Linked DNA regions of Struthio camelus. The protein of the gene in region 1 interacts with the protein of each later gene in a biochemical or structural test. Links are inferred from orthologs where the notes say so. Each region holds a gene or a part of one and is shown in the gene's direction. Other genes may lie near its edges.

What was found.
Region 2: the proteins of E2F1 (region 1) and TBP form a complex in vitro, tested with the Homo sapiens proteins (2 studies listed by BioGRID). The link is inferred for Struthio camelus from reciprocal best matches to the Homo sapiens genes E2F1 and TBP.
Region 3: the proteins of E2F1 (region 1) and CCNA1 form a complex in vitro, tested with the Homo sapiens proteins (2 studies listed by BioGRID). The link is inferred for Struthio camelus from reciprocal best matches to the Homo sapiens genes E2F1 and CCNA1.

What each region holds. Positions count from the first base shown.
Region 1 is NC_090959.1:2,870,508-2,874,318, reverse strand, and holds the start of E2F1 (transcription factor E2F1), read left to right. Parts: upstream 1-1,074; coding exon 1,075-1,263; intron 1,264-3,211; coding exon 3,212-3,302; intron 3,303-3,811. UniProt on the Homo sapiens protein: Transcription activator that binds DNA cooperatively with DP proteins through the E2 recognition site, 5'-TTTC[CG]CGC-3' found in the promoter region of a number of genes whose products are involved in cell cycle regulation or in DNA replication.
Region 2 is NC_090944.1:92,254,941-92,258,540, reverse strand, and holds the start of TBP (TATA-box-binding protein), read left to right. Parts: upstream 1-860; 5' UTR 861-1,217; exon of another isoform or gene 1,218-1,232; intron 1,233-1,240; exon of another isoform or gene 1,241-1,340; intron 1,341-1,816; 5' UTR 1,817-1,975; intron 1,976-2,033; exon of another isoform or gene 2,034-2,223; intron 2,224-2,539; exon of another isoform or gene 2,540-2,699; intron 2,700-3,600. Other genes in the region: PSMB1 (proteasome subunit beta type-1), read right to left, coding at 609-709. UniProt on the Homo sapiens protein: The TFIID basal transcription factor complex plays a major role in the initiation of RNA polymerase II (Pol II)-dependent transcription.
Region 3 is NC_090942.1:196,579,594-196,583,404, reverse strand, and holds the start of CCNA1 (cyclin-A1), read left to right. Parts: upstream 1-932; 5' UTR 933-1,042; coding exon 1,043-1,171; intron 1,172-1,264; exon of another isoform or gene 1,265-1,627; intron 1,628-2,216; coding exon 2,217-2,460; intron 2,461-2,673; coding exon 2,674-2,798; intron 2,799-3,537; coding exon 3,538-3,761; intron 3,762-3,811. UniProt on the Homo sapiens protein: May be involved in the control of the cell cycle at the G1/S (start) and G2/M (mitosis) transitions. May primarily function in the control of the germline meiotic cell cycle and additionally in the control of mitotic cell cycle in some somatic cells.

The sequences.
Region 1 (3,811 bases):
AGCCGCCGTGGGTCGCGGCAGAGCGGGGACCCGCGCAGGGGGAGCACAGGAGGCCGGGGGGAACACAGGCAGCGGGGTGCATGGAGAGGAAGGGGTTGGGGGGCACTGGCTGCAGGGCACCAGAGGGGCTGTGGGGCAAGGGCTGTGGGACTCAGACTGTGTGACAGAGAGGGGCCGTGGGGCACTGGCTGTGGGGCCTGGGATGGGGAAGGGGCCGTGGAGCACTGGCTGTGGGGCTGAGGGGTACAAGCTGTGGGGCCTGGGATGGGGAAGGGGCCGTGGGGCACTGGCTGTGGGGCACTGGCTGTGGGGTACAGGCTGTGGGGCCCAGAGAGGGGAAGGGGCCGTGGGGCACTGGCTGTGGGGCCCAGGCTGTGGGGCCCAGAGAGGGGAAGGGGCCGTGGGGCACTGGCTGTGGGGCCTGGGATGGGGAAGGGGCCGTGGGGCACTGGCTGTGGGGCAGAGAGGGGCCGTGGGGCACTGGCTGTGGGGCCTGGGGGGGGGAGGGGCCGTGGGGCAGAGAGGGGCCGGGGAACACAGGCCCCAGGAGCGCCGCGCACGTCCCCTTTAAGGGCCGGCCGAGCGCTCCTCACCCACGCGGCGCTGCCGCAGCGTCCCCGAGCTACCCCCTGATTGGCCCCTCCCTCGGCGCGGCGCCGCCGATTGGCCGGCTGTCAGCGCGTCCGGCGCCGCCGGCCGCGGCCAATGGGGCGGGCGGCGCCGCCTATCAATCCGGCGGCGTCAGCCAATGGGGGGGCGCCGCCCGCCGCCGCTGCGGCGCCCGGCGGAGGGCGCAGCCAATGGGCGGGCGGCGGCGAGGCTCGCGCCGCTTTCGCGGCAAAAAGGATTTGGCGCGCAAAGGCGTGCGGGGCCGGGAGCGGCGGCGGCGGCGAACAATACCCGCGGGCGGCGGCCAGCCCGCGCCGGGGCCGCCGCGCCGCGCCCGCGCCCGCGCCGCGCCGCGCCGCGCCGAGCATGGGCCGCGCCCCCGCCGGCCGGCCGCGCCCCCGCGCCCGCGCCCTGCCCGCCGCGCCGCCGTGAGGGCCGAGCCCCGCGCCGCCGGCGATGTGAGCCATGGCGGCGGGCGGCGCGGCGGGGCTGGCGGCGCTGCTGGGCGGCGCCTCCCCGCGCCTCCTCATCGTCTCGGCGGCCGAGGAGCCCCCGGGCGGCGGCCGCCCCGACGCCGACCTCCTGCTCTTCGCCACGCCGCAGCCCGCCCGCCCGGGCGCCGCGCCGCGCCGGCCCGCGCTGGGCCGCCCGCCGGTAACCGCCGGGGACGGGACGGGACGGGACGGGGCGGGGCGGGGGGCGCGGACCGGGAACGGCGAGCCCGGGCCCCCGCGGCTGTGGCGGGGCCTCTAGACCGGCCCAGCGCCGAGCCGGGCTATGTCGTGCCGGGCTATGTCGTGCCGGGCTATGTCGTGCCGGGCTATGCTGTGCCGTGCAGCACAATGCCGTGCTATGTCGTGCCATGCAGCACTATGTCGTGCCATGCAGCACAATGCCGTGCTATATCGTGCCGTGGTATATCGTGCCGTGCAGCACAGTGCCGTGGTATATCGTGCCGTGCAGCACAGTGCCGTGGTATATCGTGCCGTGCAGCACAGTGCCGTGCTATATCGTGCCGTGCTATGTTGTGCTGTGCTGCACAATGCCGTGCTATATCGTGCCGTGCAGCACTATGTCGTGCCGTGCAGCACAGTGCTGTGCTATATTGTGCCGTGCTATGTCGTGCCGTGCAGCACAGTGCTGTGCTATATTGTGCCGTGCTATGTTGTGCCGTGCTGCACAGTGCCGTGCTATATCGTGCCGTGCAGCACTATGTCGTGCCGTGCAGCACAGTGCCGTGGAATATTGTGCCGTGCTATGTCGTGCCGTGCAGCACAATGCCGTGCTATATCGTGCCGTGCTATGTTGTGCCGTGTTGCACAGTGCTGTGCTATATCGTGCCGTGCTGCACCATGTTACGTGTGCCATGCTATGCAATGTCTTTGTGCACCGCACCACGCCGGGCCGGGCCGTGCCGAGCGGCGCCCCGTGGGGCGCGCGGGCCAGGCCCTGCCACGCAGCACACCTGCCAAGCAGGGCCCCGCTCCCCGGGTTGCGTCAGGCCGGCGGAGCCGCGGCCCCGCTGGGCGCTGCCTGCTCCGGAAGCCGCGCGCCTCCGAGCTGGGCCGGGTTCCTGCCTCCCCTCCTGTGCGGCGCATCTGCTGCGCGCCCGGGACGCGCTCGCTTCGCAGCGCTCCCTGGCGCAGGAGCCCTCCGCGGCCGGCCCCCGGCTGCGCCTGCGAGCTGGCCGGCGGCTCCCGCTCCTTGGCTCCCCCTGGACGCGCGCAGGGCGGGAGCGCCCCGGCATCGGGCACCCCTCTGCCCGGGCCGGTTGCCGTGCCGCGCTCGGTGCCGCGGGTGCGCGTTCCCCGCTGCCGCACGGTCCCTCGCAGACGCGCCGTTTGCCTGGCTGCTGCCGTGGGGCGCCTCGGTCCCCGCCGTGGCAGACGGGGGCGATGGGCCCGGCCAGCCCCCTCTGACGGGTCACCCAAAGCTTTTGTTGCAGGAGGCTGAGCAGAGCGCTGTGGCCGGTGCTTTTGCAGCCCCCTGGGCTCACGGGCTGCGTGGCGGTGGGCGCCCGGTGCTGCTCTGCTGGCAGCAGGATCGGGTGCCCTGCGCTTTCCCGGCTCCTGCCAGTTAATCCCATCTGTGCTGGGGCTCAGAAACGCTCTGGGGGTGTCTGCGTGGCCTTACACTGTGCCCGCCCAGGGAGCGGCGATGGGCGCAGGCAGCACCCCGGCTCTGCACCCCAGGGACACCGGGGTCGGGTGCTGTCACCTGCCCGGGGTGCCTGCAGCCGGCACAGCCTCCGCCGTGGCCCGCGGGCAGGCAGGAGGCTGCGCGTGCCGAGAGCCCATCCGTAGGGATGCGCTTGGGCTGGCCAGCTGGGAGGTGTGCGAGGCTGCGGCCGCAGGAGGCTCCGCACTGCCGAATCCCTGGTGTCCCCCCTTGCAGAGGTTCCCAGGTGGGGCCACCAACGCCTCCCTGTCGAGGGCGCTCGGCTGCTGGGGCCGGGCTGGGAGCAGACCCCTGTGTTTGAGCCGCGCGGGTGCCTGGGGCTCCGCATCAGAGCCGTGCGTCCGTCGCACAGAAGCGTGGACGTGCTGGGGTACGGCGATGTCCGTGCCGTCCGGTCCTCTGAGGAGCCACCCGTCTCTTGCAGGTGAAGAGGAAGCTGAACTTGGAGACGGATCACCAGTACATAGCAGAGAGCCTGCCGACGGCCCGGGGCAAAGCGAGAAACCCTGCGAAAGGTACTGGCTCAGCTCCCTGCCGGAGCCCGGGTCACAGCCCAGGCTGCGCTGCTGCTGGGAGCGCTGCCTGATCCCGGCCTTCGCCCTCCTCCAGCTGGACATGGGGGTCCACCACCGCCAGGATCGCACCCAGGCGGGCTGGACTGCGGCTCTGGGCTTGTGCCCTGCTGCTTTTACCCATCCCTCCGTGTCGGTTTGCAGAGGCTCTCGCTGGGGGCCGGGGCGTGCCTGGCCCGTTCTCTCTCTCCCGGCTCAGCTCATGCGGGCAGCAGCCCTGCAGGAGTGAGCATGGGAGGTGGCGTCCCCGAGGACAGAGCTGAGGCTGGCAGCATTGAGTCTGTCCGCGTGGGGCTGCGGGCAGACGTGGCCTCGCTGCACCCAGCTCCCAGCAGGCTGGAAGCGGCAGCGGAGCTAACAACCCTAGTTCTCCACGGGGTGCACGGCGCATTGCTGGGCTGACGCGCGTTTACGTGGCCCGGCGCTGATGCCGAGTGCAGAAAAGCCAGGTA
Region 2 (3,600 bases), on another chromosome or scaffold:
AAGGATTTGTCTCTCCAAGCAAAAAAAGTCCAGCCAAGTGTAAGCAATCAAATCATCACGCTTAGATAACAACATTATTTTAGTCTGACATTTTCCTACGTTATTTGTTCTCAAATAACTAGCTGTATGTGAGCGACTGTTAAATAGCAAACAGGTATTCCTTAAGAAGCAGTTCGGCATTAAGAAAAAAATTAAATACCATGCTGGCCAGAGCCTGACGCCACCTTAGGGCGGGTGTCAAGAAAACATCACCAGGTAGCTATCAACGCAGTTACAGATTTAAAAGCAGGTAACGGGACCATCACACAGCTTTCCTAAGCCATTACAAAGGAACAACCCTATCGAGAAGGGAAAGTGCTTACTTTGACCCGTAACGCTCAGGGAGCCCGAGCATAACAACAGCCTCAGAGAATAACGTCAGAAACACAAAGAGGACCCCGCGGGACACTCGGGGGTACCCCGGCCCTGCCCCCTTTCTCCATGGAGAAGCGCTCACAGCGGGAGACAAACCCTCGCGCAGGGCCGGGGGCGGCAGCAGGGAGACCAACCCCGCCGCCGCCCTCCGCGGGGGCCCTAGCCCACCCCAGAGCCAGCCTGCGCCTCCTCACCCTCCGTTGAAGGTGTAGGGCGAGAAGCGGTACTGCACGGGCGCGCCGAGCCGGTAGCCCAGCTCGGGTGTGGGGTCCGCGTAGCCGGCGGTGGACAGCATCCCGACGGCGGCCGGCTGCTGTCTCACGGCAAAATGGCGGCACCGGAAGCGGAACTGGAGAGCAGCCGCTTCGCCGTATGTACGCTCTAGGAAGGCAGGAGGCCACCGCGCCTCGTCTGCCTCGGGCAGCGCCCCGCCCCTGGGGCCGGGCGGGGGCGGGGTCTGGGGCCGTTGGGGCGGCCGTTGGGGCGGCCGTCTCCCCGGGCAGGGGTACAGCTGGGGAGCGCGGTGGCGCCGACTGGCAGAGGGCAGTCGTCCGCCGCCCGCCAGCCTCCTCCGCAGTCAGCTCCAGCCGCGGGCCCGTGCCGCGCCGCAAAATGCAGCGGCTGCCGCTGTCATCTGCCTTTGCCGCTTCTCTGCCTTCTCACCACCCGGCAGGAGCAGGCGAGCTGTGGGCTCTGCGGGTCGCGCCCGTGTGCCTGTCCCTGCGCGGCTCCAGTCCTGCCTGGGGAGCCTCGTCTGCTGCGTTTGGTGGGGTCCCTAGCCAGGCACGACGTTTAGCGCCTTGGTTAGTTCTGGCGAGGTCAGGGTGCTGTGCTTTTTCTTCTTCCTGGAGTGGCGGCTGTTGGAGAAAAGCAGGGGAAGAGTAGCAGCCGTGAGAGGGTCGTGGGAGCCCCTCGTGTCTGAGCAGGCAGGAAAGAGGGTAGCGTTGAGGCTCCGGGTTTGGAAAGGAGAGGAGCACGCCCAGGGAGAAGCCCTCTGATGAGGAGAAGAAACTGGAGGCGCACCAGGCTCTTGAAACGGGAAGGGGGATGCGGTGCCTGGCACGGTGACACAGCCTAGGAAGGAATGGGAAGGCCTGGGGCAAGGAGTGCAGGGAGATGGCCGGGGTGGAGCCGTCGGGGAATAGCGGGATGTCACGGGCACGCGTGGTCTCCAGTGGAGAAACGTGGCCCCTCTGACCAGGAGAGAGTCCTGGTGGGGGACGCGCCAAGGCACCACTCCTGTAGCCCAGGGCCCGGCGCTGCGCAGCGCGCACAGCCTCCGGGGAAGGCTGGTGAAAACCAGGGGCGGGCTGGCGGTGGTACGGCGTAGGTGACTAAGGAGGCGAGCGAGGCGCGGTTTCTCTGGGGGCACGACCTCTCATTAAATCTCCCCTGATTATAGCACAGCCAGAAGCCAGTGAACAAGCTTCGGGACACACGAGCCCTCCTCCGGGTCTGAAACAGGAGCCAGGCACGCCGAAGCGAAACCCAGGCGGCGAGCACCCCGGCCGCCCTTCCGCCGCCGCCTGCCACCGCCCCGTCCGGCAGAGGGGCCCCAGAGGTGAGGCGGCCCCCATCCCCCTCCCCCACCGCGGGGTGGGGGGTGGGGGGGGCGCGCGGGCGCCCGGCGGAAGTGACGCGGTCGGGACGCGCCGGCGGCGCGGGCGCAGCTCGGCTGGCCGCTGGCTCTGCGCGGCGGCGGGTGGCGCCGGGGAGCGGCTAGGTACTGTCCGCGCTGCCGCTGCTCTGCCGGGGCCCGTCCGGCCGCCCGCGCCGCGGGGATACGGCGGCGGGGCCGCGATCGCGCAGGTCGAGACGGGCCTGGGGGAGGGGCGGGGGCGGGGCGAGGCGGGCGCCGCGGGGACGGGTTCGCCCCACACTTCCCCGCGGGCGCCGCCGCGGGGCCGGGGACCTTCGGGCCCGCCCTGAGCCACCGCGGAGCGGGGCGGGGGGGGGGGGAGGCTCCTGCGGCGGCCGGGCCGGGCCGGGCCGGGCCCCTGGGGCAGGCTTCGCGGCGGCCGTTGGCGCCGCTGGGTGTAATTGCGAGCAGCGGTTGCAGCCGGGGCCGTAACCGCCTGCCCACGTGACGGGGCGGTGCTGGCCCGCGGCCTTCCGGGTGGGGGGCGCGGGCGGGAAGGGCCGGGGGCGGCGGGGCCTGGCCCTCCGAGGGCTGCGGGAGCGGCGCTGGAAGCCGCTGGGGCCGAGGGGAGGCCAGCTCGCAGCCATGGCCCTCGCTGTGCGCCCAGTTGCGTGGTATCGGGGATGCCCGGAGGGGCTCGAGGGAGGTAGGGTCGCCGCCTTCTCGTGGGTGCCTTTTGCCTTTGGACTCTGTTCCCTGGGGAAACGTTAGTGGAGATCAGAGCGAGCCACGGTTAGGGGGTACAAGGCGGACCTTTGTGTAGGTGTTGTATGAACTGCGGGTCCTGGCATGCCTGGTATTTAGAGTTGTTACTAAACAGCTGGCCTGTGGAGGAGTTGGCTTTGTTTCTTCTGGGGTAATGTTAAAATTTTCAGTGTTCCTCGTGCACCCCCAAGCTGTAAAACTTGGGTGCTCTGTTGATACCTTCAGTGAGGGTAAATATAATGTATCTTATGATTGTAATTAAATAAACCCTTTTTAGCTGTGGCGTTCTGTTAGTGTAATTTTGAGCTCTCATGCTTTAAAAAAATAAAGGCTGAACAGGCTTTCTTCAGGTTTTCAAGTGGCTTACCTCAGGCCTAAAAATGACCTTGAATATTTCTGTGCAATAGGTAGCTAGTACCGAAAGCTATAAATTAATGAAAAAACATTAGGTAAAAAGTTATAACATTTAAATTGTCAATGTGCATTGGTTGTTTCCATAGCACCATAACAGAGGCATAGTTTAATTCATATTTAAAAAATAAAAAAAGCACGCACATGTTTCACAAGTACACCCTAAACTGGCTTTAACTTCTTTCTCTCTCTCTTATAAAGCACATGCCATTACTGGTTGAAATATCTTAGTGCTTTATTTTACCGAAGTGAATGGAAGAGGGTTTCATATTTCTAATTTAACTAGCAATGTTTTACTATAGAAAAAATTTTTAGAGGCCCAGGCCTCGCAATTGCACAGGAGGAGGCTTACCAGCAATGAGAGGCTTTAACTATCCTGGTTATTATAGTAGAGTTCAATTCTGAAAAATCATTACTTTTCCTAAATAAAG
Region 3 (3,811 bases), on another chromosome or scaffold:
AGTTCTTGGCAATTTCTGACCCTGGCCACCAATTGTACAGCTCAGCGGAGTAGCTCTTTTTCACTTTTGAAAGAATTAGACTCTTATATATAACGACTCTCTGTTTCTGGAAAACATAGCTGATATCTGAAGCCTATCAGAGCTTAAAATGAGACTCTCCTATTTTCGGCCGGGCAGGCCGCTGCTGGAGTTGGCTGCGTGGGATTGCTTGGACTGAAGTGAAAATCTCCGGGCGGAGGTGGTGCGCCTCTGCTCCGCTTGGGTTTGTGCGAGGCTTTTCGGGGCCCTGCTCTTGCTGACACAGAGGTGGGGCGAGGTCCCTCGGGGTTTGCTCCCGAAACATGAGGGTGCCCGGCTCACCCTAGCATGCCAACGCTAGAAAGGCCTGGAGGTGAATTTCGGATGCAGCAAAACCTAGCGCGAACTTTCGGCGCGTGCCCCCACGCCCAGGCAGGCCTGCTGAGCCCTCCTTTTTCCGGAGACGAAGCCGCCTGCTGGTTTTGGCATATCCGCCATCCAGGCGGCCTTCAACGCCGCGGCCGGCTTCCGTCGGTCTCCTCCCAACCGCTCCCGGTATCTCCATCAAACGCCGCTAAGCTACGGTCCTCTCTTCGCTTCCGCCGGGCTCCTGCCTGCGCCAAAATCCGATGACACCGGCGGCGGGGCCAAGGCCGCCTCGGCCGGTGCCCCGAGCCGAGGGCAGCAGCGCGGCCGGGGCGGTTTGCGGCACCCGCCGGGCCGGGCCCCGGGCCGGCGTCTCCATGGCGACCCGCCGCCGCCGCTACCGCCGCCGCCGCCGCCGCCGCGTGGGTTGCCAGGGCCGCGGCGGCCGGGGGTTGCCGGCCCCGGCGTCCAACTGGCCGCAGCCAACAGCCGCCGCCGGCGCCCATTGGCCGCGGCCTATATAGGGGGCGGCGGGGCGGCAGCGCAGCGCAGCGGGCCGGCTCCACTCTCCAGCAGCGCTCCCTGAGCACCGAGGCGGCGGCGCCGCAACCAACAACTACTCGTCGCCTGTTTGCCGCTGTTGTCTCCCGCGGGGGCGATGCGCCGCAGCGGGGAGAAGAGCCGTGCGGGGCGGCCGGAGCCCCGCGCCGCCGGCGGGCGGGCCGTGCTGGGGGAGCTGGCGGAGAACGGGCAGCAGCAGCGGCGGCGGCGGCGGCCCGGCGGCCAGGTGAGCCCCCAGCAGCGGCGGGGGGGGGCGCGCAGGTAGCGGGGCTGGAGGGAGGCGGCCGCTGCGGTAACCGCCCCCGCCGGCGTGGCCCTGGGAGCGCTCCGGGCGGAAGCGCCTCCTGCAAGGTGAGACTCGGGGAGGCTTTGCCTTAGCACTGCCCCCGCCCCACGAAGGGTAGGGGGTGGCGAAGTTTAGGTGCCTGTTTGCTGGTGACCCAAAGGTCCCGTTGCTCCGCGGCTGGCCGTGATTCCTGGTGGGTGCCAGAGTACCCACCAGAAAGCTAAAGCTTGCAGAAGAGTGAGTGTCCTGGACCTTTCAAGCCCTCCTGAAATCAGATGCTGTGGCAGAAGCGTTGTGCTGGCTTGCTGGAGCTGAGGTAGCAGTTGGTGCCTATACAAGGGCTTTTTGCAGCTGTGACTGTGTAAAGCCCCTAACTCAGTTGATGGCTTATTACAAGTGAGTGATATTAAGCACTGCCTGCTGGTCACACATTGTAGTCCCTGGGTGTTGAGGTGTTGGAGTCCTGAGGTGCAAACTGTGGTTTGTAACTCAATATGAAGTGCCTCCTTTTATGGGAAGTCTTTCATGAGTTTGTGGTAGCTTCTGAAAACTTCCATGTGATATTTTAGCTTGCTATGCCTTGAAATAAGCACTGCTTGCAAAAACTGCAGACAGAGCAGAGCCCATACCTGCCACTGCTTGTTTCTGATGGGGCTGGCCTCAGCTGGCTTGCCTTTGCAGGCAGTGGTGAAGAGGCTATTCAGGACTCGCCTGGCTCTTACCTTTCAGTATACCTCGCTTTGCCTGTGAAGTGTCTACTATAGCAAGACAGTAACAAGCAAGATTTCTGAACTGCTGTTTGTAGCTCTGTGTTTATGGGGAGGTTTTTAATTTCTTTTGTTTTTTTCTCTTCTTGGTTAACTTCTAGAGTTTTGGTATCTGTGTTAGCCAAAGAAAGCAACTCCTCTTCCTCTCTAAAATAAGCTATAATTACTGTCATCTTCTGAACTGCCCTCTTGTAGCATTACTGTGTACTCTGTTCCAGGGTACTATGGTTATCAGACATTTCTCTGGCTCTGAAAACTGCTTCCCTCCAGCTGGAAAAGATGAATTGCCTAGCTGCATGGTCGATGCCACATCAAAGCAAGGGTTTACTATATATATAGATGAACCAGAACAGAAGGAAAACTACAACTGCCCAGTGGTTGAAGAGCTGGACTCTAGCCTGTGTGAACTGGATACTAGTGCAATGACATCCAATATTCACCTACTGTTGGATCTGAGTACAGGTAACTGTTCTGGCTACTAACCGAGTAGTATAGCAGAGATCCACATAGGGTAGCTATGAATTGTGGTGTTAGCACAAGCTAGTGATTAGCTTATCTTGAAATAAATAGCACTTCAAGATAACTGTGATCAACAATGCATCTGCTGTGTTGGAAATGACAAGAGTAAGGTGAGGAGGCTAATCAAATGTGTTGCTGGCTCCTCTAACCTGTTAGGGTCTCCTATGATAGTGGATACATCCTTCCAATCCCAACCTGAGGATCAGATGGGAGATGCAATAACTATAATGACTGTGGGAGAATATGCAGAAGACATTCATCAGTACCTCCGAGAAGCTGAAGTGAGTGATTTGTTACAAGTTTATAATTCTAAGGTATTTGTGGACTCTGTGATGAGCTGCAAAGCTTATTGCTGCCCCAAGATGACCCTAGCCTGCTACTGAGTTACAAAAGTGGAGAAAGCAGGTAGCAAAAACAGTCTTTAGAAGCTGCCTATGAATCTGGCTTCAGACAGTGATGAGATTTTGCAAATATTACTTTGCTTCCTGGAAATACTCATTGTTACAGCATCTTTTGACTCTTAAAGACAAATTTCCAGAAATAGTTCTTGCAGATGGGAATCAAATGCTGCAAAAAAACTAAAGCAGTTGGATGTGACCTCACTGACAGCTCTCCTGTTATCAGAGAGCTTTACCTTGCCACTTTGATGCAGAAGGGTAAGGAAAAGAACAACCTTCCAATAAGGAAGAAACCTGATTTGTTTAAAGTTACTTTCAGGTCCCTTTTTCTGAATGGCTTTTATGGCCTTGATGGCAAAGGCTGAACTTCAGTGTCCAAGAGGTCTTTTGCTATTCTGCTACTAACAGATTACTCCTGTCTCTTGTTAGCATGCAACTTAGTAGAGGTGCTATTATTTAATACGACTACAAGTAATAGCTAGTTAATACTAACTAGCTATCAATTGTTGAACTACTTCTGCTACTTTTGGCTTACTGGTGTAAGTGTGAAATACCTTAAACTCAGCCATCAATGGTCATCTTCAGATGAATGTCCTAATTCTTCACCTGTCTTTCTGAGCAGATAAGATACAGGCCAAAGCCATACTATATGAGGAAACAACCAGATATCACAACAGGAATGCGTGCCATCTTGGTAGATTGGCTTGTGGAAGTAGGGGAAGAATACAAACTTCGCACGGAGACGTTGTACTTGGCAGTGAACTTCCTGGACAGGTTTCTTTCCTGCATGTCTGTCCTCAGAGGGAAGCTGCAGCTTGTAGGAACTGCAGCAATTCTTTTGGCTGCGTAAGTGTTTGTATCATCTCCTGAAAACTTAGAAGGCTGTAACTTATTTT